Linked DNA regions of Tribolium castaneum. The main gene of each other region encodes a partner of the protein of the gene in region 3 in a complex. Links are inferred from orthologs where the notes say so. Each region holds a gene or a part of one and is shown on either strand. Other genes may lie near its edges.

What was found.
Region 1: Br140 (region 3) and Eaf6 share a complex: the UniProt entries of both Drosophila melanogaster proteins name them as parts of the enok complex. The link is inferred for Tribolium castaneum from reciprocal best matches to the Drosophila melanogaster genes Br140 and Eaf6.
Region 2: Br140 (region 3) and Ing5 share a complex: the UniProt entries of both Drosophila melanogaster proteins name them as parts of the enok complex. The link is inferred for Tribolium castaneum from reciprocal best matches to the Drosophila melanogaster genes Br140 and Ing5.

Annotation. Positions count from the first base shown.
Region 1 is NC_087398.1:15,239,143-15,248,993, forward strand, and holds Eaf6 (chromatin modification-related protein MEAF6), read left to right. Parts: upstream 1-1,204; 5' UTR 1,205-1,345; coding exon 1,346-1,423; intron 1,424-1,510; coding exon 1,511-1,714; intron 1,715-1,769; coding exon 1,770-1,806; intron 1,807-5,440; coding exon 5,441-5,685; 3' UTR 5,686-5,840; downstream 5,841-9,851. Other genes in the region: peroxisome biogenesis factor 2, read right to left, coding at 458-874, 923-1,033; uncharacterized protein LOC135266307, read left to right, coding at 7,406-9,851. UniProt on the Drosophila melanogaster protein: Component of the Enok complex which has a histone H3 acetyltransferase activity. Might be involved in transcriptional activation of selected genes.
Region 2 is NC_087398.1:9,636,844-9,647,765, forward strand, and holds Ing5 (inhibitor of growth protein 5), read left to right. Parts: upstream 1-1,284; 5' UTR 1,285-1,573; coding exon 1,574-1,610; intron 1,611-1,659; coding exon 1,660-1,850; intron 1,851-1,899; coding exon 1,900-2,056; intron 2,057-2,103; coding exon 2,104-2,283; intron 2,284-2,440; coding exon 2,441-2,589; intron 2,590-2,640; coding exon 2,641-2,742; 3' UTR 2,743-2,907; downstream 2,908-10,922. Other genes in the region: cuticlin-1, read right to left, coding at 10-88; myd (45 kDa calcium-binding protein), read right to left, coding at 3,473-3,762, 3,811-4,017, 6,038-6,294, 6,341-6,663; testicular acid phosphatase homolog, read left to right, coding at 4,614-4,703, 4,746-4,841, 4,892-5,131, 5,182-5,491, 5,550-5,734, 5,786-5,926. UniProt on the Drosophila melanogaster protein: Component of the Enok complex which has a histone H3 acetyltransferase activity.
Region 3 is NC_087401.1:11,385,140-11,389,156, reverse strand, and holds the start of Br140 (peregrin), read left to right. Parts: upstream 1-1,217; 5' UTR 1,218-1,444; coding exon 1,445-1,850; intron 1,851-1,899; coding exon 1,900-2,027; intron 2,028-4,017. UniProt on the Drosophila melanogaster protein: Scaffold subunit of the histone acetyltransferase (HAT) Enok complex which has histone H3 acetyltransferase activity.

The DNA.
Region 1 (9,851 bases), on a different chromosome or scaffold from region 3:
CCGTTCATTGTTCTTGATTCGTTAAAAAAAGTAAAATATTCCAAAATTGCACAGTTGATTGCCTAATCTCAGACAAATAATACAGGATGTTTCACATAATTTTACGCGACCTGCGCCTCTAAAATGCCACCTACAACACATATTCCGATATACGAACTCGATTACAAATTTTGAAAAACTGGATTGTTTTTTCTTGTTTGTTCACTCCTTCAAAAAATTACGTTTTTAGTCAATTAGTGATTAAGATAAACAGATTACTGTCACGGGTTTCCACAAAATAAATAATCAAATGTGAATTTTTTGTATCTAGTGTTTTGTGACTCTTGAATATTTGGGTGCGTATGTATACATTTGGCGCAGGCCTCGTAAAGTTATGTGAGACACCCTGTATAATTATAATTACTATGGTTATCTAAACAATCAACGGAAAAATAAATTAAATTGAAAGAATTCTTACGATAAATCCATTCCAAAGTAATTCTCTAGATAAATATTTCGCTTCAAAATGCCTTGGAGCAGTTTTGGTTGAGTACTCTTGGTTCAAACCCAAACACCTTTCTATCAATAACGGTTTAACCCCACGTCGTAGAAATATGGACATATTGATAAAATTCAATAAAACTAAAACCATGTGTATCTTAAACATAAACGTGTTAACCTTATGCGAGGGCTTCCAGAACTCGAGACGATGTTTAACGTAATCAAAACAGTTCCCAAACAAGTAAAGAATTTTCTTGAAATTCGACATGTTGCTGTACTTTATTGATAAAAGTTGTTGCCCAAAAGTGCTCTCATTGCGACAGACTGAATTTTTCAGAAGCGCTAAACGCACAATTAGGCCCAACTCAGGTTCAATGGGGGCTATATAACCAGGCTAAAATTACACTTTCAGGCAACCAAACCTTAACAAGGGGGCACTTACGGGTAAGAAACGGCTAGTCTCGTGAAGAATTCGCATAAGGGCTTTGTAGATTTCATTATCAAGGAAAATTGCGTTCATTTGGGTGACTCTCAGTAACTTATCGTTGGACATTTTGCACAAGTTTTAGACAAATTGAGCGTTTGGAATGTTGATTTATTGCAACTATTTGTATTTTTGGCACTATTTGTTGTTTTTTAATTATTTCATAATGATCATAACCTCAGAATTTGTGGAACTTTTCGGGTTGTTATGTTGGCAGCGACGTCACGGGTGACGTATTTGACATTTGGCGAAACGTCAAGTTGTGAGGTGTTTTGTTGGAAATAAACAATTTTTAGTGTAATTACTTGAGGCACTTAGCATAAAACAACGACTTTACAAGTGTAACGTTTCCTTTTATCGTTTTGTGATAATAAGAACAATATGTCGGCCAAAAACAATGTTTCGGTGGATGCCCGCCAAGAGTTAGCAGAACTTGTTAAAAGAAAAGCAGAAATTGCGGTAAGAGTTACTTTATAAATGTTGAAGCTTTGTATTAAGAAATGTTTTTCTGTTTGGCTTAAATTCGCGGTCTTTAACCAATTATAGGAGACGTTAGCAAATCTCGAGCGCCAAATTTACGCGTTTGAAGGTTCCTATTTAGAAGACACTCAGTTGTATGGAAATATAATTCGAGGCTGGGATCGGTATTTATCGAGTAACAAAACAACAAACTCTAAGGCTGATAAAAGAAATAGGAAATTTAAAGAAGCCGAACGTCTGTTTTCTAAATCGTCCATAACCTCAATGGCTGTGAGTTGGGACGAGTTTTGTGTATTTTTTTTGTATTTTAATGAACGTTTTACAGGCGGTTAGTGGAATTGTTGACCAAAATCAGGAGAAAAGTAAGAATAGTTATGAAATAAAAAATCATTCATACGTCTAGTTTTTTTTGTATTCGTTTTGTAGCTTTTTTGTAGTGTTTGTGGTAGTTTTGCTGTGAACTTTCTTCTAGATAGATGTTTTCTCTAGTTTGGTCACTGCCTCTTATATGCACTGGAAAAATGAGAGACATTCCAATAGCTCTGTAAATGTTTTACTCTAAAATTATTCAAATTTTGCAAGCAATGAAACAAAATATTACAATAATTTAGAGTTTATTTTCATTGCTTACAACTCCCACAGGGAGTAAATTGGGAGGCATATTGAACATTTTACATTTAGTTTTACTTATTTATTTGTTTTGTTGTTAGTTGTGTCATAAACCCTACAAAAACAATTCACCAACAGTAAAACTTCTATAATCCGAACGAATTCTATTGCAGCAGGTTCTTCGGATTATCGAATTAACTTTTTTCTCTTACTTTAATTGAATAAAAAAAAATAAGTATTTTTATTTAAAAAATTTCATAGGGACATATACCGAGTAGAACAAACAAATATTTTTTTTACTTATTTATTTTATTGTTATTATTTATCATAAACCTCTAATAAATTCGGACTGATATTTTTTGAATTAACTATTCTCTTATTATTAAAACGAATAAAAAGAAACATTTTTTTTAACTTAGAGTGATCCTGTTAAGAGAATTGTAATTTTATATAAAAACTGTTGTTTGCATTGCAACACTTCGTTCAACAGAAAGTTAATTGACAGGTATTTTATTATTACTAATATTATTATTATCACAAAAGATCATAGAGGAGTCCCTGTCGGGACTATTTTGCTTAAAATTAAAATAAAAATAGTGGTGGTAAATACGGTATTTCAATTCCACCCAAAAAGGTTGTCAGTTCTTGATTTAAATCGCAAGATGTTAGGTGCATTTTTTATGACCATTTTATGTAAAACGAACACTAGGACAATCAAATGTTTATATTTTTATTTATATTTCTATTGTTTAGTTTTTCATAAACCATGCCAAAATAATATACAGTAAAATTTTTATAATGCGCACTAATTACTATTGCAAGAGGTTTTTAGAATTACCAAATTAACTTTTTCCTCTTAATTAAAATGATTAAATAAGCAAAAGTAAGTATTTGTATTAAAAGAAAAACAAATATACCTAGTGAGCCTGTTAAAAGCATGTTTCAATTTTATATGTATAACAGGCAGTTACGTTTAGAGACATTTTGAACATATTATTTAAAATTTAAATTTGATTAAAAAAATCAAGTTTCTATTTTTTAATTTTAGTTGTTTTAATGTTATTGTTTGTTTTATCATAAACTATATAAAAATACACTAAAACCTATTATAATTCGAAATACTTACTATTGCAAGAGGTTCTCCAATCGGATGATCGAATTACATTTTTTGTCTTCATTAAAATGAAATAAACAAAATACTCGTAAGTATTTTTATTAAAAAAACAATCAGAGAATTACATATTTTAATCACTATACAAAAATGTTGTAAACGTTGTTCATCTGGAAGTAAATTGAAAGACATTTTGAACATTTTGAGGAACAACGAATAAAAATATTTTTTACTTCTTTAATTGTATATTTTATCGTTAATTATGTCTGCAAGAACATTACACAGTAAAACCATTTTAGTCAGAATTACTATTACAAGGGGTTTTTCTATGTAACTACAGTAGCGAGGGGTGCTTCTTTTAGTGAGTTTTTCTCAATATTTCAGAAACCATTACAGATAATATTACAATATTTGATACAGTTAATAATCTTTATATTCCCAATCGAATTCGAGAATCTAATGTAATAAGAGCTGTCAGGTTGGCATTATCATAAATAGTATTTTTTTTTAATTAAGGTTGGTGTAATTTTTTACCTAGAAAATTCAATTTCCAAATTTTTCAAGTTGTCTCCAATTTACAAGACGTACAACAACACATTTAGTTATTTTAGACCACCTTTAGAGTAACGAATTAACGATTAACACTAACGTCCAATTTTCAAAAATGTCAAATCTGGTGTTCAAACTGTCAAATACAGAATACAGCCAGTTTCTAAAGTGGTTGAACATGAACTTTTAGGGTGTTACAGTCTTTATCAGAATTTTGACACTGACAGTTGATTATACAAAAAAATTAACTATAGAAATTTTGAGCAGGGGCGTTCCAAACTGGAGGGAAGTAGGGTAAAAAATATCCTAACTATGTGGATTTAGTTTTGTAACACATGGGCTTTAAATAAATTCTGTACTAGTTCAGGATTAGTTCTAAAAATCGTTTTTGTTTGAGTTTCAGAATTTGCAAAATAATATTGCATTGAAATTGAAATTGAGGTGTATACGTACAGTGTCATTCTGCTAAAAGTATTTTCTTCCTGTGTCTCAAAACTCAATAATTACACAGAGAATTTTTCGGCAGTTCTTTATACATAATTTAAATTAATTAATATTAAGTCACTGACGAAAAAATTCTAATGATATTCTTTCTGAAGGGAACCATTAATAATAAAAAAATTGTTTCTAGCCACCAAAAAATAAAATTATTGTGTTGTTCATATTTTCCAACATTTTTAATTGTAATCAAACTGTAATTAAGATTGAACTTGTGATTTACTTTGCCAAGATTAACTTAATCGATGATTATTTTTTTTATCTATTTTTGCACAAAAATTTTTTCATTGGCTTAATTAAACTTTATTTTAAAAATTTATAGGAAAATTCCGAAAAAAAAATGCGTAGAAAGATTTAATTGATAGCAAACGCTCATCTTTATGATTTTAGCTTTAAAAATATACTTTTTTAGACTAACCCTGTAGAAACATCGAAAATTATGAATTTAATATAAAGTTGAAAAAAGAGTAAATTTCTAATGCCCCAGTGTTTTTTATATTAAAAAATAATTAAAAATGAAAATTGAGTTTTAAGTTAAGGGTAAATAGGTCATAAATACCTAATTTTTAGTAGCGTTTGACGCCTGTCATATTTGAATTTAGTGTACGTTATTCTAATTAAGTCAGAAAAAATTCCCATGCTGTAACTTGATGACTATAAATGGAAAATATTTACATAATAACAGTGGGGCAAAAATGCGGAAGTAATCCGTAAATTAATTATGGCCCCAGCAATTTAAAAACCATTGATGTCAACATAATTTTTCTAATGAACGCTTTTTAGAAATTAATTGTGTCGGAAAATTTGCTTGTTTACCGTGGAATCTCTCTCATTTTTAAAGTTACTTTTACTTTTTCATATTTTTTGTTTTTTTAATAATTGTATCCTGCCTCCTATTCACTTAATTAGCAACTAAAATTTTGTGATAGTCTATAAACGTTGTTTTTGGCGATGGAATGTAGACATTTTGTAATAACAGTCGCCAGAACAATCGGTCATTGTAACGCGTTTTGTAGTAATTAGTTTGGAAATACCTTAACAGAAAAATTTACAAGGCCACTGATCCGATCTACTTACATTGCACAAAATCGCCGCTTTTATTCATCGTTCATTTTTTCAGCCGAATGATTTGGCAATTAAATTGCTAAAACCGTCTAGTTTTTCTGTACAGGTATTACGTTCAAGCAGTTACTTTTTCAAGTAATTTTAGTTTTATTTTTTACTCGTAGTGGAGCCGCACAGCGATACTGAATCTCAAACTAATGGAGATTCTAGTGATACTAACTTAGGTCCTAATTCGAACCATATAGATTCTGGGATGAAAAATGCAGGAAAACACTCGACGAATTCCTTGAATGGTGTACAGAACGGGCTTGACCATCGAAATAGCCCCAATAGAGACGTTTCGGCCAAACAGAAAAGTTTCAGTGCAAGTGCTAAAAAAACTAATAATAAGAAAGCTAGACACAGATGACTTTTTGTGCTGTTTTCTCAACCTATTTGTGTGTGTTTACAGTTTTAAGGTTTTTCAATTGTGAGTTTGGAATCTAAGTACCTGCATATTGAAATTGTACACTTTTTACCGATGTAATTGTTTGGAACAATAAATAAAATTATTCAGCAATTAAATGATTTCCTTCATTCAAATAAGAAATAAGTACGGTAAGTGTATGTGTCTATAAATTTAAGTATTTATGTAAGTTCAACTTTCTTTAAATTGTTTTATCTTTTCAACACTCATTGCTGCATTATAAAATTGTCTGCTCGTAAATGTCATTTTCTTAGTTTTTATTACGCTTTTGCGTTAGAAATTATTACAAGGTATTAATTAATTAGACGAACATAAATTATAAATCGTATAAAGTAAATAAACTTTTTCTTGTGTAAGATTTATGTCAAAAACAAACACAAAGGTGTGCGACTAAACTCCAAAGAAATTGTAATCTCATTACTACACCTCGTTTTTTCGGATTATGTTTTTTCTATTAGGTGAGAGAATCCGATCATTAGCGTATTAGAATATCCGTTTAATTTTTTTGCGAAAGTATTTGAAAAATCTTGTTTCTTATACAAATGGTTTTGTAATATGCCAGACGTGTTTAGTAAAAGCATTTCTCTCCACAAATAACTAAGGAATTATTGTGATTCTTAAAATCAATCTTTGATCCTTATACCGTTGATTCAAAAATCTTTTAAAGATGTTTTTTGTCAACGTTGGTATTTTGACAAAAAATGGGACGACCAAAATAAGGCTGATTTAGGTTTTTCATGTTAGCAACAATTCTTGCTGTGGGTTAAAAATAGATTTAAACCTTTATTTGATTGGACTATGAAAAGAAACAATACTGTAGGTGAACATATTTTTATAAATAAAAATATAGAAAACTATATTCAAATAAAAAACTAGACACTTGGGTAGCTGTGCAGCAAAATTACAATTTCTTTTGTTTTTTCAAAATTCGTTAATCAATTTTTTTATGTACATATTTAAGGGTTTTTCATATTTTCTAAAAGATGCTACAAGTTTTAATTTTTGACAAATTCAAGACCACTAAAGAAAGAAGAAGACATGAAAAGCCCACCACTTTCTAATTTTAGCAAGAAAGCAATTATAGGAAGCCAGGTTAACATGGGTCATTGGGGTAATAGCAGACTCATCGTAGTTGAATGTCTGCAATAATTTCATTTTTTATCGGTACAAATTAAATGCACATTTGTTAAGTGAAGGGGGCGCTGCTGGTGAAATTGGCGGGAAATGATGACGCGTGAGGCGCGTACGGGCAACGCCTAGTTAGTTGGAAGGACACTGTGGCAGTGTCAATGTCGTTGTTGAATCTAATTTGCTAATAAATTAGTTTTTGGGTGAATTCCGAGTTTCATTTACAGAGCAGCGGTAGGATATTGCTCAAATAATCGTTTCCGATAGAGAGTGGTGAATTGTGGTGATTTTGTGAGGAATTTGTGGGTCGCCAAGGCAAGGGCCAAAAATTGAAGTTTTGGGAATCTGTACCGTTTCATTCGTAACAAAATTGTGTTTTACGACTTGAAATCGAACAAATCAATCGGGTGCTAGCCGAATTTATCTGATTTTTCTGATTTCTGACGAGTTCTAGGAGTTACGCAACCACACGCTGTCAATTTTCATTTGGGTGTGGCTCAAAAGGCGCGAAAAGTTTTCTGGTGAGATTTTCGCAATGGGGCGTCACAGGTACCGAGGAAATGTGGACTCGGACGACTCGGACTCAAGTGACGATGAGCCACGGCCGAAAAGGTCCGCGCCTGGGGTCTCCACTACAGTAAATTCACCCCCAGTTTCGGCCGAGTCCGCTAGAATCGCGAGACTTGAGCAACTTGTGGAAAACTTGAATCGACGTTTGCTAAACCGCAATTTTGAGCACACATCAGGACAAGTTGGCATTAAAAGTGACCTGATTCCTGAATTCGCTCCAGGAAACCCCAATTTTAGTACCACTAAGTGGTTGCATAAAATTGACCAGTTGGCTCTCGTGAACGGTTGGGACGAACGTACAACGATTTATGGCATGATAAGTCGACTCAAGGGGTTGGCCAAGGAGTGGTACGACAATCTCGATCCCTCAGCATACGACCGGAGCTGGGATGAATGGAAACGTTTGTTACAAGCCACCTTCCCCGATCACCACGATTATGCTTCCACACTTCGTAAGCTAGTGAATAGGGTGAAGGAAGACGGTGAAACCTGGGCACAATATTATTTTGGGAAATTAAATCTGTTGCAGGCTTGTGACATAACAGGAACGAATGCAGTCTCCTGTCTTATTGATGGAATCACTGATGTGACTCTCAGAAATGGGGCTAGAGCAGGGCGTTACGTTACACCCGAAAGCTTGTACGCTGAGTATTTGTCGACTCTGAGATCCGAAGGTGACAAGCGGGATACGCTCGCAAAGCAGGCGCCTCGGGAAAGGAGGAGGTTCCTTCCAAGTCGAGTCGAAGCACAAAAACTGTATTCGTCAGTTCGGTGTTACAATTGTCGTAATCGAGGACATGTTGCGACAAAGTGCCCGAAACCAAGAATTGAGTGCAAGAAATGTGGTCGCATTGGACATGTGGATGCTGAGTGCCGACGTGGTAACGTAGTAAAAGAAAACATGTCTAAGCAGGCACTAACGACAAGTGTAGCTGACGCAAGTAATAATAAGAATTATTACATAGACATTAAGGTCAATGGTAAGCCGACGCGAGCTTACATTGACTCAGGAGCTGAACCGGTCCTTGTCAAGCAAAGTGTTGCTAGAGAATTGGGACTGATGTGGCAGCCAAGTTTACATTTGATTCGTGGTTATGGCCAGGGAATCACCAAAGTGCATGGGGAAGTCGAAGTAGAGCTAGAAGTGGATCTTGTCAAGGCAAACGTAAAAGCTTTGATCGTCGAAGACAGTGCACAACGTGTGCCTGTCATAGTGGGACAGACCTTCCTGAATGCGGGTGCTAATACGATTATAGCAAATGAGGAAGCTGTGAGAGTAGTTGACGGAAACAACGAATCGATCCAAGCATTTCTAGGCCAACTTCCGACACGAAAAGTTGCACTTTGGGCGGAAGAGGAAACAGTGATCCCTCCTCAATCCATTGGTTGCATACGAATCAAGGCAAAAGACGATGGGTGGAAAGGAGCTTATTACGTTGAAGGGTGTCAACGTCCGAGACCAGGGTTCGAACACGTTGTTCATCGGTGTGTCACATGTGATGGAGGCCTAGTGACCGTTCGCAATCTATCGCACCAAGATCTGGTCTATCGAAAGGCGCAAATCGTTGCGAGAGCTGAGCCTTGCGAGCAGGAAAGGACAGCTACGACGGTGAGTGTGTTTTCTATGGGGAAGGTTGAGGTAAAGAGTTTTCAACGGTGGGAACTTCTTACACAAGTCAATAAGAATCTAGACCCGGCTCAGTTCGAGCAATTGTTACAACTCGTTAACGAATTTCGAGATTGTTTTGCACGAAATGTAGCGGAAATAGGTGCCACAACTGCGACAGAAATGAAGCTAACTTTGACTGATGATAAACCTGTAATTTATCGTCCTTATCGGTTATCGCATCACGAAAGAAGAATTGTTCGAGATATAGTAAATGACTTGTTAGGTAGCGGAGTCATACGAGAATCAGACTCGCCATATTCGAGTCCCATACTGTTGGTGCGGAAGAAAGATGGGCAACACCGTATGTGTGTTGATTATCGGCAATTAAATTCGAAAACAATCAAAGATCGCTTTCCGTTACCACGAGTAGACGAACATTTGGATAAACTAAACGGTGCAAAGTTTTTCACCACACTAGATCTCGCGAGTGGGTACTATCAGATCCCAATGGCCACCGAATCGATTCCAAAGACAGCATTTGTTACGCCTGATGGGCATTACGAGTTTGTCCGCATGCCTTTTGGTCTAGCCAACGCTCCGGCAGTGTTTCAGCGAGCTATGAATAAGGTGTTGGGTCCATTACGGTTTCAGACCGCTTTTTGTTACATAGATGATCTTCTGATACCTTCCAAAGACTTTGAAACAGGTCTTAACAATTTACGAACGGTGTTTCAATTGCTTCGACAGTTCGGATTGACTCTAAAGCTGAGTAAATGTTGCTTCTTTGGAAGTCAAATAGAGT
Region 2 (10,922 bases), on a different chromosome or scaffold from region 3:
AATACTGACCATTGTTTTCCTCAGAACTGTATGAATGCGAGATTAGGGCAACAATAAAAAGTTTTGGAAATAGGCGCGATCGAGACATTTTTTCTTATAAATTTCGACTCATTTTTGTGAGAGTGCAGGAAAAATAGTGCATAACAAACACACGACCGCAGAGTTTCATCATGAGTAATCTTTGAAGAGGTAAACGAACTCGCGGATGTAACCTTGACTTTTTCATTCCGTTTACAATTATTTACGACTGTTATCCAAATAATTTTGTCTTTAATCGTTTGGTTTAAATAAAATACAACCCTTATTGTTTTTTTTTTGCTATTTTAACGCTTTCATAAGTTACGAAAAATATCCTTAAGTGAGGAAGTAAGGACAGTTTGTATTATCACAGTGAACAAACTAGAAAAGACTCTAATTTTTTTTAAATTTATAATCGAGTTCGTGTTCTTGGAGGCATTTTACAGGCGATGGCGTCGTAAAATCATGTGAAACACCCTGTCTGTGGGCGGGGCGGGAGCTTAATATTTGGGGCACGTGCCATACACCAAAATGTGTATTAGGATTACAAAAAGTCAAGGTCTTTACATTCTTATGATTCTGCTCCAAAATCCAGTTTTAAATTTGCAATTTTTGGAAGTTGTTTGTAGGCAATCACCTATACAAAGGAAAGTGTTGTGGATTGTCTATCATTTAGTTTAAAATTTTAACAAAGTTTTATCAGTTTTATAATAATTTAAAACCAAAATGTGTGTGGAGGAGCACAAAAAAAGATTTTTACATTTTTGGATAGATCAAATAATCATTGTCCAAAATTGATTTTGAAGTTTTCCAAGTTTCAGAGCAAAAATAATTTCGCTATTGCAGAGGAAATTAAAAAGGTTTTTACATATTTTTCCTCTACATTTTTGTGATCCTGTATCAAATTTCAGTTTAAAATTTTGAAAATTATTTGGAGGCAACCATCTATACAAGGGAAAGTGTTGCGAATTGTCTATCGTTTTTGGGGTTTTTGTCAATTAAAACAACGTGTATTTACTGTTTTCGTATTAGTCTTTGAATATGTGGAGAAACTGTAGTAATAAATCACTAAAAAAAGTTAAATATGTAAGAGAAACACCACATTCAACCACACGATGTAAACCGTTTTCTTCAAGCAACGGGTGGTTCGTCAATCAGTTTAACCATCCTGTAAGTAGATTGCATAAATAACGATTCTGGAGAGACAATTTCCATAACGCGCCGTTCCCATAACGCAGCAAAAAAAGTGAACAAGGTTGCCACGTGGGGACGTTCAAAAAAATAAATCAGCATTTCTCCAGTTATATAAATTGTTTTTGTTATTTATGGGTGAATTGAAGAAATTGAAGTAAGTGTTCGGTAATTTTGTCCTTTTGTTTGGATAATTTTGATTTTTTAAATTTTCTGGAACATAGTGAAATGTGGCGACGCTGGAACGCCGTTGTCAAATCTGACAGCTGTCAGCGTCGTTTTTGTAATGTGTTGTTATTATTAGCGCCAAATAATAGGATTTTTCTTACGAATTTGAAAGTTTTGAAGAGTATTAAGTGCTAACATGACGTCTGCCTTGTATTTGGAGCATTACCTGGACAGTAAGTGTAAATAACGCGTTCAAGAGACACGTAATTGTAAAACTTTCAGGCTTGGAACATTTACCAATCGAGTTGCAAAGAAATTTCACTTTAATGCGGGATTTAGATTCCCGGGCGCAAGGTTTAATGCAAAATATTGACTCTCTATCCGACAATTTTTTGAGAAATCAGAAAACCATTAGTCCAGAGGAGAAGAAGGAACAACTGTTTAAAATCCAATCGTTATTCAACAAAGCAAAAGTAACGCGAGAGTTTAGTTAGTTTATTCATAAACTGTTACCTTTTATAGGAATATGGTGACGATAAAGTCCAGTTGGCAATTCAAACCTATGAACTAGTTGATAAACACATTAGGAGGTTAGACAATGATTTAGCGAGGTTTGAGTCTGAAATTCAAGACAAAGCTCTGAATTCCCGCAACCAGGATGAGCCCTCAGTTGGCAAGAGTAAGAGAATTGCTAAGTGAAATGTATAGTTACTGTAATTATTCCAGAAGGTAGGAAAAAAACCAAAGATGGTAAAACGGAGAAGAAGAAACGTCCTGGTAATTCAAGTGAAGAAGACTCGACGGGAACAGTTCGGGGCACAAAGAAGAAGAAGCAAAAGGGGGCCGGTTCTACTGGAAATAGTGGCAGTACTACAGGCAGTGGCGCCAAAGCTGCCCTAGGTGAGGGTTCGTATCATCTCATTGCCTTTATATCTCACAATACGGAGGCCTAACATACAATAATAAATCAACTGAAATGCCATTATAGGCCTCCGTGTTTACATGACGCATAAATCCATATTTCCTTCGTTTACAGACAGTGTTTGTAATAATTTTATTTTAGCCACTGATTCAGTCTCTGTACTGCCAGGCTTAGCTGGAATCGCACATCCGAGCGACGTTCTGGATATGCCTGTCGATCCAAACGAACCAACATATTGCCTTTGTCATCAAGTATCATACGGAGAAATGATCGGTTGTGATAACCCAGATGTAAGAAATCAAATTCGTTTTGTGTGCAAATTAATTTTTAATAATTTTCAGTGCCCTATTGAATGGTTTCATTTCGCTTGTGTGGGCTTGACAACTAAACCCAAGGGTAAATGGTACTGCCCTAAATGCACACAAGACAGAAAGAAGAAATAATGCATCGATGCGTTAAAAGATTAGACAATTTTTTATTTTAACTTATTCCTTAAGTTTAAACCGTTTGAAAACATGGTTTTGTTACGAAATAGCAATAATGCATTTGTTATTTTATTAAATTTATATCGTGTGAATTATTAAGGAAATAAACGTAATTTAAGCATTTGTTGTTTGTTTATTTATTGGTAAACTATCTTCCCTTTCTTGAAAATCGATGAGTAAAAAAATATTTCGTTATTTGAGTTGAGAATACGGATATCTAAAGGTTAGGAAATGGAACGACGTACGAATTAAACGTTCCCATCCTCGATAGTTCCACTAAAATCGCCAGGGAGCGCAGTTGTTTCATTACTGTATAACAGTTAACATATAGCAAACAAAAAAATAATATAAAAAAATTAATGGAATGGTTGGATTTAAAATAAATTAAAACTTTTTGGCGCTAAGACGACATGACGCTCAAACCAGAGAATACTATATATTTCTTGTCTAATAAAAAAAAGAAAATATACGTAATTTAAGCAACTGGGGTTTCTTCCTTGCTAAATTATTTTTAGTGTCTTGGAAAAAGATGGGTGAAAGAAATTCGCATTATTTATTCTTTATTTGAGTTGAAAAATATCTCTTGTCTAACTAGAAGAAACGATTGAGTGTCTAGCTAAAATAGCGTCTGCATCTGCTTAAAAGCACAGTCTTATATTCGTGATTAACTGATTAAGAACTAACTCTTTCAAAATTCATCGTGAAAGCTTCGCCCGGTGTCAACCATTTTCGATTTTAAAAATAGGTCTGGATGTGCGAGTATTTCATCGAGTGATAACATATTGTCATGATCCCCATCGGCCAACGCTAGAAGGGCTTCAGCTTCGTGTTCACTGTGTCTAGGACTTTGCGGTGCAACGTAATGTAAAAGCTCTCTCCTATCGGCTCGACCGTCTCCGTTCAAATCAACAGATTTGCGAAACTCGGCTCGTCTTTCATTTTCGTCTTGTCTGACAATGACTGTTTCGTCGTCGTTACCTAAAAATGACTAGTGGTTGTAAATTTAACTGTCGTGAATTTCTAAACCTTCAGTTTGGAGAATCGCAAATTCGTCCTCTGTTAGTAACTCGTCTCCATCTCGGTCGAATTTGTCGTACAGTTCGTCGACCAGTGCCAATTGGTTGGCAGCACTGGATTCGGGATGGGTGAAGGCCAGAAATTCGTCGACTGTTAAAGCGTCAGGGTTGGAGCGAGCGGCTTCCATCCAAGACGCTTTGTCCCTCATTATTTGTTCTACAAGAAAAACATTACCAATTATTATCACTCTTCTGTATTTTAGTATTTTAGCTAAAAAGTTCTTGCTATTTTTTGTATGTAATTAATACTGTAAAGAGCAAACATGATATCATATTCCATATCGAGCGCGATATTATCCTTGTTCCTTGAAGAGCTTGAGTTATTGGCATAACATAACCATTTATTCATCAAATTACTGACTCAGCCTGTATATTGGGTGAATCCAAAATTTAAATATAATATAATAAATATAAATATAAACAATTCATTTGACGACCCTTGTGTTTCGCAACACTCAGTTGTGTAACATTTTTATAACTTTATACGGCTTATTGTTCATAGTAATCGCTTATTTGTTAAATTTAATTAAGATATTCTTATCAGAGGAAAAAATAGAAACATGTTCCAGTGAAATAGTGTCAATTATAAGCACCAAACTCTGTCGAGAAAGAATCTCAAGATTAAGGAATTTTTTGGGTGCATAAGTAAGCTCACATAAGCTCAGCTCAGCACGCGTTGAAGTGATCAATAGCCGCATTGTGCGCCAAATTTCTTGCGCTTGATATCAGTCGCGAAGTTGTTCTGCCAGTTCAATGTTTCTAAAATGTCCCCTTTCCTTCCTTATGCTAATCGCCTCTGTTGGCATCATTCCCACAAATTCAACACTTACGCAACTTCATATTGTGAGTATCACTATTTTTAAACGTTTATGAAAAAAAGTTCAGGTGTTTAGACATGGCGAACGGGCCCCCACAGAAACCTACAAGAATGACCCACATATCAACGTCACGTGGTCAGGAGGTTGGGGTCAATTAACAAACGTATTTATTTGAACAATGATTGTGGGGACAAATAAACCGATTTTTTCCAGCGCGGCAAATTGGAAATGTATTTACTTGGGCTGAAAATGAGGCAACTCTACCATGACTTTATCCCCAAATATTATTTTCCGGATGAAGTAAAAGTCATGAGCAGTTATGCCGACCGATGCCTTATGAGTGCCCAGGCTTTACTGGCCGGCCTGTTTCCACCCAGAGATGATCAAGTCTGGAATAAAGACCTCTTATGGCAGCCCATTCCTGTACATTACGTTCCCCGAAGTCAGGATAATGTAAACAGAAATTGCCAACAGTACAGTTATTACTAAAGCTGGAATTTTAGTTGATTGCGATGAAAGCTAAATGCAAAAAATACGACGAGGAGTTCGCTGATGTTTTTCACTCCGAAGCGATCAAGAAAATCGATGAAGAAAATAAGGAATTGTACGACTATTTAACAAAAAACACGGGACAGAAAATGGATTCTGTTGGGAAAGTTGAATTGTTGTACAACACTCTGGAGATTGAACGTTTGCACAATTTGACTCCTCCATCTTGGACGCAAAACGTGTCCTGGGAGCAAATGCGGAAACTCGCAGCCAGAAGTTTAGAAACATTTACTGAGACAAACTTTATGAAGAGAATGAAAGGGGGTTGGTTACGTTACTTTTGATAATTTCAGTCTCTATTTCATTGCTATAATTATTCAAGGAGTGTTTTTGAGCAAAGTGATAACAGACATGGAAACAGATAAAAAGAGCCCTTTGCTTTTCTTGTATGCAGCACATGATCTTACCCTTGTAAATATCTTAAAAACTTTGGGTTACAAGACGATGCTAAAACCCGGATTTGGTGCTTCCTTGGTTTTTGAATTGCGCAACAATTCACAAATTACCGTAAAATAATATTCATATTTTAGTAGTTTTTTTGTAATATTCATATTCTAGTTGTTATATCGGGATGATATTAAAAGTGATCCAGAGAGGATTGCAGTTGAAAGTTGCAACACTCCGTGTTTATTGAGTGGATTCAAAACCGCCCTAAAGGAGTTTCTTCCGTCAAACTGGAAGTTGGAATGCAATCAGTGAATTCATGTTTGTATTTTTCCGTGGTTGTAATCTTTTATAAAAATAAATACACGGTTTTTATTCTGTTTTTTGCCCTTTTTTTTGACTGAAACACTGCAACTTTTTACTTGCCTTTGATTGATCTTTGGAGGCCTCTGTGCCGTTTCTCGTCATGATTTTCCACATATTTCTTGCTAAAGCCTCGCCTTTTGAGGAAATACGTGTGATACTCTTTCCAAGTTATTACACCGTTTCTTGGATCAACGTCTATCATAGTAAATAGGGCGTAATTATTGCTAACAGCGGTGGAAATATGTTCAACAATTTTTTTTCTTATCCATTCGGAAAGTTCTTTAGAGTCAAGTTTGTTATTTCCGTCTTTGTCGGCTCTAAAAATTAAGTTACACTTCTAATAAATGTCTAATCTGCACCTACCTTTTAAATACGTCTTGAAGGATTTCAGTCTGGTCCTTGTTGGCGTTTTCGTTCGTATTTATGTTGATCAAGTATTCGTTTTTATTATTTAGAAGGGAGCTTTCTTCGTCTTTTCGATCCGAATTGAAATTACTATTTTTCATTCGTATTTCGAACGAATCTTCGGGCTTTTCAAGACGTATTTCTTTCACAATTTTGATGGGCTTTAGTGGCACGGACAGCATCCAAATTGTTAGAAAAAACGTGATGTAACACAGAATAGGGACGGTGTAAGACCACCTCAACAGCAAAATGAGATGTTTGAAATTGTGAGCAATTTTCATTCTTTCTCTTTAACAGTTTTAACTTCTATATTTTTCATTTGGGTTTCAATGAACATTGCTTTGTTGATAAGTTTATTTCACATCGTGACCTCTACCTTTTGATTGACATTACACGGTTTTTTCAATTCGTTTCACGAAACACATGAGGACGTTGCGAAATCAAACATTTTGCAGAATTGACCGTTTACACTACTGTAAATGGGTTATTCTGTTTTCTTTTCATATCGTGCAGCGAAATCGATCTAATGAAAGTGTTACGCGCGCGCTCTCGAGCTGCGGGCTAGAGAAATTTGAATCGGATGTTTTGTGTGTTGCATAGGTGTAAGTACTGAAAGTTAGTTTCAATCCTGTTCCAAATGATCAGATAAAATTTAAAGTTTTACGGAAGTTATAAACAACTTAAAAGTAGATTAATAGTAGTGAATTTATTGCATTGTTATAATATTTCAAATTTATTTGGATATTGAACTCAGGGAGCTCCTACTCCCTACTCTCTTCCCTGTTATTTTTCGCAGCAAAAAAACAATTTGCTAGTTAGTTTTAAAAATCATTAAACACTCACATTAAATGAATGTTTTCATTAAAAACCACTACCATAAAAAATAAGAAAAATAAATAAAAAATTACGAAAATAAACAATTACACACAACCTTGTTAGCTTATTATAAAAGGACAACAATTTTTGTATTTTTAAGTAATTAGCAATAAAATTCTTTTTAAAATAAGACAAAACGATTTTGTGGAAAGCTTTTTGTGAAAAATTACTAATAACTTTTCGAATTTATTTGTTTAATTTTTTTATGAATTATTTTTTTTATACTATAATTTATTTTAATTTATGTTTTAATTAACGTTTTGTTTTTATTAGATCGCAGTTGATATGTTTACAGCTCACGCCGGCCAATTATTTGTACCATGTTATACATTAGCCCGGCGCATCCACCATTTTTAACCTAACTTTAAAATCATAAGTGTATTACATGAAGTTAACTAAAATATGTAATGACCACCTTCAAGAACACTAAATGATTTTTTGTATGTAGTTTGAATTTTGCAGGAGTTCGAACTGTTGGCGATATAAAACATTAAGGAATTTTATTCCTCGTACCACGTTCAGTTTTTTTGTAAAATCCACGTAACTTTTTGATTTTAATTTTTTTTAAAAATGGGTTTTGTGTCTTTTATTTCTTAACAAAATTTCATTACATAACACATCTGTAGTCTTATTGTGTATAACAGCTCGTGGCAAGTTATTAACTATATTTGTTGATTCAGTTATCAAAAGTTGCAATAGGAAATTGATTATAGATAGCTATATACAAAGTCTTTTAAATTAAAAAAATCAAACTTAAGACATAAAAATAAAATAAATTATTTCCTAACGGAGAAGCCGTCTCCTGTGGGATCCAAAATCCAGGGGTAATTATTGGGGCATTCCATGCAGGTGAACAGACGGAGCGTCTCTCCTGGAAGCTCCCTCGTAGTCAGCGCGCACGAATTAGGCAGGGAACAGTAAGGCTGGCCTTTAATATCGCATTTCTCCTTCCATTCTTGGAAGTCACGCAAGCCGTTCAGCTCAGTTGGATTCTGCATCCATTGGATGACCTGGAGGTTGGTCACAAAATAGACATCATTACGCTGCAACATCTCTTCGATGAATTTAATAAGCTCTTCCTTGAATTCTTTCTTGCTCTTCAGCCAGGAGGCGTGGAAGTGGAGCCCGAGAGGCGCGCGGTTGCTGTTCAAGTGGCGGTTGAAGTTGTGTCTGAGGAGACGAGCAAACTGCTCGCCTGTTTGAATATTCGAGCAGGAGTCGACCATGTGACAACCAGGCAAAGATTCGTCAAAAGTGGGGTCATCACGTCTGTCCAGCTCGTTCATGACGATTTCCCAGACCGGGTGGCTTCGGCTGGGGCAGTTGTGCGCGTTTCCGTTGCACTTGTGCGGCATCCGGAAGTAGAGGGTGTAGGGCCAGATGGGCACGCGGCCCAAGGACGCCGTGATGGAGGCGTCGTAGACGAAGAACTGGTCGGCCATCATTTCGAACTGTTTGTTGCCTCCGACGCGAAGGTACGGGGCTCGGACGCCGATGATGGAACCGTCCGTGATGTTGGCGAAGCGCTCAACGATCAGACGCGCTCCGGCCATCTCGGCAAGCCAGTCGTCGTAAGACCCTTGGCTCCAGTAGTTGGGGTCCTCTTTGTGCGTCAGCGAAAACACGGCGATTTCGTGGCCGCGTCGGTGCAGGTCTTGGACGGCGGAGTAGTTCGTGTATTTGTGCGAGACGAAGAAGGTCCCCCTGATCTGGCAGCCGTTGGGGTTGGCGCGGTTTCCGTTGAAGATCTCCTCGTACAAGTCGATGTTGTCGACATTGACGGCGCCGTTGAAGGTTAAGGTGATCATCTGGGGCACGTTGGCGGGCTCCAGTTGGCCGGGGATCCTGGTACCGTCGGCGGAACAGAAGCAGTCAGGGAGAACGCACTGGGTGGGGTCGCAATCAGGCGCCCGATTTGGATCGGTTTCCACAGCTGTGAAGGACTTATTGTAATGTCGAATTTAAATAATTAATGAGTTACTTACTGCAAGAATTTTCGTCAGATTCGTCCTTGCAATCGGGTTTACCGTTACAGAACAATTCCTTGTCGATACATTCACCATTGCCACAAGACAGTTTCCCTTCAGGGCAGATGGGCTCGTCCGTTTTAAAATTGGGCAAGACCTTGCGGGGCTCTAAAGTTAAAACAGCGTCACGAAATGCCGAAAAATTTACATTTTATAACTCCTGTTGCTTCATTTTTGTATTTAAAAACTTGTCCCAAAAGTTTTTTATTTGACTTTCATTAAATGTTTTCATATTTTTACTAGTTTTACAGTTACGTAAAAGTGAAGGTGTGTACATAAAAATGTAGCAAATGTCATTGCCGTTATCAGAATGTCACTTCCGGCTTACGGAAGTAATATGTTGTAAATACCGCCTCGTTTTATTCTAAAAAAAATTCCACTTTTTACTTGAAAGTATGAAAGCTTTGTTAAAATTTAATTATTAAAGGTTAACAACGCGAACGGACCAATAAAATTTGTTCAATTTGGTCACGTGATCAGTTAATCACGCATTTAATTGCCGATTAACTTAATGACGCTTCTATAAACCGACCCATAGTATTTAAAGATTTTGATTTTTTAAATAGTAAATTGCACGAATAAAAAACGAAACAACAGTAGTTTAAACAATAACAATCCAATCAAAAAACCTTGGGGTGAGAGCTATGTACAAAGTGTAATAATTGGGTGTGTACTTTTGTGACTGGCTTTGCTTCAAAAAATAAAATATTTACATCAAAATTCGTCATTGTTCGCAAATCTTTCAATTTCATAGAAAGTAGACGAAGAAAAAGAAGGAAAAAATATTAATTACAACACAGAAAACATACAATTGTGGATGAGGATTGATTACACGTATGATTTCCATAATTTTACAACGAATTTAAATGCAATCGAGGGTCCGTGTTTTGAACCTTGGTAATTTTGAATTAATTAATGACTGCGTAATTGGTTGCACTTGAAATTCGTCAGGGTGTAAAATTATTTGAATCACCATGTATGAATGGTTTATCTGCTTAAAACAATTTTGTTGGACGCTAGATAAACCATTCGAATCAGTAAGAAAATTCAAGAAAAATGTCTGTAAATAAAGACTAGATGAACACAGAAAGATGTATTTTGTACATACAATGTGTAAGTATTTAAGACAGACAGAAACGTACCGACTGCTTGTGTAGGTACAAGGAGAAAAGAAACAGACGTTTGAAATGATTTGGAGTTGAGTGGTGTCGTGTGTTTCCGTGCAAACGCACAATGGATTAGTTGATTAATGTGCGGATTGTCTGAAGCTGTTAGTGAATAGCAAAAGCGCATGCAACGACTTCGTTAATCGAGCTTAAAGTTAGAAAACACCATCTACTTTCTACACTTTTGTATCGGAGAACTGAATAATTTTTTACACAGTCTTTGAAATTCGTTGCTCTATTGAAGCCGAAACAGCGGTCGCATAATTTCTACAGCCACCGTTCCCTCACCGCACTTGAAAGTGCGACTTACTCTCAAGTTTATCACAGTTATTGACTTTTCCTTTCCAGTCACATGTTTGTTTATCGATGTCAAATGCCAATCCGCTGGGACAAGTGATTTGCTTTAGACCGGACTTAGTACACCTGTACGTTAAAATGGGGCTTAATATCGGGTTTTGACCAAGAAATAAT
Region 3 (4,017 bases):
CATTACAATACAAAATTGTAATTATTTCGCAAATTGCTGAAAATAGTGTTCAATTTGTCTTTTTTCTATCGTTATCTTGATACATTTCTTTTAAAAAATTTGCTTTAATTAGCTGAAACTACTTACCTACATTAAATTAGATCGAAATTAGATCGAAATTAATGCTATGTTAGATTATTTCACTTGTTTTAGTTTGTTTTTGAACTAAAGGTTTTTTTATTATGCAAGATTTTGTTAAAATAGGCAAAAAATCCAGCACAACTGTTCGAACTTATTGGGATTTTCTCTCGCTTTGCAAAATGGCGTTTCAAATAAATCACAAAACTACAAAATTTGGTCAAAGGTAATATTACTTTCACCTCTGTTTATTTTACATCTTCCAATTTTGTCTAATATTTTTGAAATTTTATGTAAAATTTTTAGTAGATGGGAAATAAATACGTTCTATTTGTTATTTTTTAATTTTTATAATATATTTTAATAGAGTAATAGTTGATTAATAAATAAAGCAAATTTGTGGCAAATGAGATAAACTGCTGCTATTTTTCACTAAAATTTTGACTTTGAGAAACATTAAAAAAGTTCGTTTAAAAAATTACAGTTTATTTCGTGACTGCTAAATTTAAACAAATCATTCTCAATAAATTATTGAATGAGTCCAAAAAATTAACGTGATTGGTTTCTAACGTTATTATAATGGCCGAACTTAAATGGACCAATCATATCCAAAAACACAATTATTCAATGAACCAAAAAAACTTAAGTGATTGGTTTTCTCCGCAATTTTAATGGCCGACCTCAAACGGCCCAATAAAATGCTTACAAACTTTACAACAATTAATACGCACTCTACGTTAATTCATAAAAAGATGTGTCTGTCTTTGTTGCATCTCAATTCAGTTTTTTTACTATGATTAAAAACACCAAAACTGGGTCAAAGTGGGGCAAAATTATCTTCGTTTTCTTAAAAAAAGGTAAACAAACGACTAATAAAAAACAAATTTGAGTATTTTATTGGTAATTATTATAATTGCAGTGTCCGAGTTGAGATTTCTAAAATCTAGGGAATTTTCGTTGGGCGGAATATCCGCAAAACCAAACAAAAAAAATTATTAGTACAGTGTTTATTGCAAACACTATCAACATCACACTTATTTCAAACATATCTGTCCCCAATACTCAATCTTATCTCACTTAATCCCCAATTAAATAAATAAACTCGCTTTAATAGTGACTGTAATCCCCCACCGCCACAGTTGGTATCCCTTTTTATTGATGTTGACCCAAAACATCAATAAAAACACAATTTCTCGCTTAAAACCTCCTTCACACCAGTGTTTTTTCTGGTAATGCCTCCAAAACCCCCAATTGTGCCCCCCACACCGGTGCAAACCCCCCCAGTGTTGTGATTTGCTCCCTCCAACCAACCTAACCTCACTCCACAATGGGCATAGATTTCGATATTTTGGAGCATTGTAAGAAAGTGCGAGCCGACCATGGCCCCCCTTACACTTGCCCCATTGAAAAGTGCGGCCGGACGTACAAATCAGTGTGCGGGTTACAGTACCATTTGAAAAGTTACGACCATGATAACCCGACACCTTTACCACCGTGTACCCCCAGCACGCCCAAGAGCAAGAAAGGACGGGCTCGGGCCACTCCGGCTGCGGTCCCTTCGGCTCCAAGTGTGCCCGAACCTTTGACGTTTGAAGAGGCCCAGAAGATGGTACAGTTTGATATCAATGGGCAGGTTTTGCGGTGGAATATTAACGAAGCGTTGGATATGGTGTCCAAGGAGGACTTGTCGGACGATGACGTGCCCGATATTGGGCGATTCGAGCAAGCTCAAGGTGAATTTGGGTGGGATTTTGGTATTTTTACGAAAAAAAAATGTTTCAGAGCCTTCGGCACAGTTACCTGAAGCCAGTTACAAAGAACTCGATAATTACAATATTTGTGACGCACCTCCGCGCCCCAATGCCTACATCAGGTTTATCGAAAAGAGTGTGGAAGAGCTGGATGGCGAGGTGATTAATTTTGAATCAGTTGATTTGAGTTGATTACAACAGTAGTCTAAGATCAGAATTAGGGTCGTTCTTCATTCATCTGCTGACCAGACGAAGCTTATTTATTATCAAATACATAATATATCGCGAATAAGTTGCTTAAAAAATTGTTTAAGACCACAAAAAATGGGGCTAACAGCGTTGAATTTTAGCTTTTTTTAGGTGTTTTACAGCCGTTATAAGTAACGTTTTTGAATGTTATTTACAAGATACATTCTTCTACTCGGGTTGTATGAGAGAAAGTCTTTTAAAATGTGATCAATGGTTTATTTAGTTCAGAAAAAAATCCTGAAAACTGAAAAAAAAACATGATACATTCTTTATTCCCAAGAGCCTACAACAGGGCCAAAAGTATTTTATTTTCTACTTAACACTTAGGGTCGAGTTCATAAATAAATCTAATTGTTGATTTAAATTTAATGTTGACTTTAACGAAAAACTTATTTCATAATCACTTTAATTGTAAATTTAAAAATCAATGCCCCTTTAAGTTTAAAGCCACAATTTTTGGCCATTAACGCATTTAATTCTCTACGTAAATTGTGTAAAAAAATTGAGAGTGAATAATAATAATAATAATTAATATTATTATTTATTGGAATCAAAATCAACGACGATCGGATCAACTTCCGTAACAGGTTTTAAGTAAAATGAGTTGTAACGTTTCGTCTATATAATAAACATCATCAGGCTTTTAATTCGTTTAAATTAAACCAACTGTTGGTTTCTTGGTTTAAGAGGTGAGTTACCCAAATGCAGGAAATAAAATATAAAATAATCGTGCTCCTAAAAACTATAAACAAAAAGTAAAAAAAAGAAAAAACCACATGAAATTTAACCTAAGTCTCAAAAAATGTATATGCAATTTTTTTATGTAATTAAATGAATGAAAATGAATATCACAATTACTAGTAATATTATTAAAATTACTGCACATTTCGTACAACGACGATTTTAAAAGAATATTAGTATTACAATGGTTACAACAAAGTCATTGAATAACGTGAGTTAATTCTAGGAACCAGAAAAATTATCCTATTCGCCAGATTAATACAGTCTATCTTATTTTTCAGTAATTTATGTTAGAATGCGATACTTAAGATAGCTCTTTTGATTTCTAAAGAATTGAACAAATGATCACAGTTTTCTCACTTGAAACGCACAAGGGCAAAAAATAATTAGGGCTTTTAAATTCGTAAACTCTCTATGATTTCAATAAATAAGTCCTAAAGTTTTAAACGAGCTATTAACAATATTTGTGATATTCACAAACGAAAGTTTGTTGTCGAAGGTAACTTTTAAATCTTTAAATGTGACTGCTCCTTGTAAAATGTGTCTATTAATATTATAGTTGTACACAATCTTTTTTTTTCTTATTTGTCTAAGACGTAATAAAATATTTAGAAATATTCAGTTTAAATACAATTTAAAAATATTTCTACTTTTCCGAGGTTTTTTTATTATTATAATTATTAGTATTATAATTATTGCAAAAAATACAATCGTTAAAAAGTATTAATGATTTAGGGAACAATGGATTTTTTTGAAGAAAACGTAAATGCTAATGTTTGAAAAATTTTAATTACAGAGCATTTTGCTAAGTTATAAAAAATTAATTACTAATTATTCTTTGACATTGTTGTAGTTCCTAATCATCATTTTATTGTTCCCAATATTTCGCAATTTTATTTATGTAAGATGGAACTGCTATAACTTTTTTTTTGTTCTTTGTGTATTTTTTAAACAGCTTCAACTGCTTGCAGATGTTTTTCTGTCTTTGTTTTTCTATTTGCCGAATTTGGTTTTAATTTGCTCAAAATTTCTGTGACATTAATTTTTTTAAATTAATTTTTGAATACTTTTCAGATAATATAATTTTATCAGTCATCTTCGAGCTGTAATTTTTTTTTAATTTACGGTGATTGTCAAATTTTGCATAAATTTTGATGTG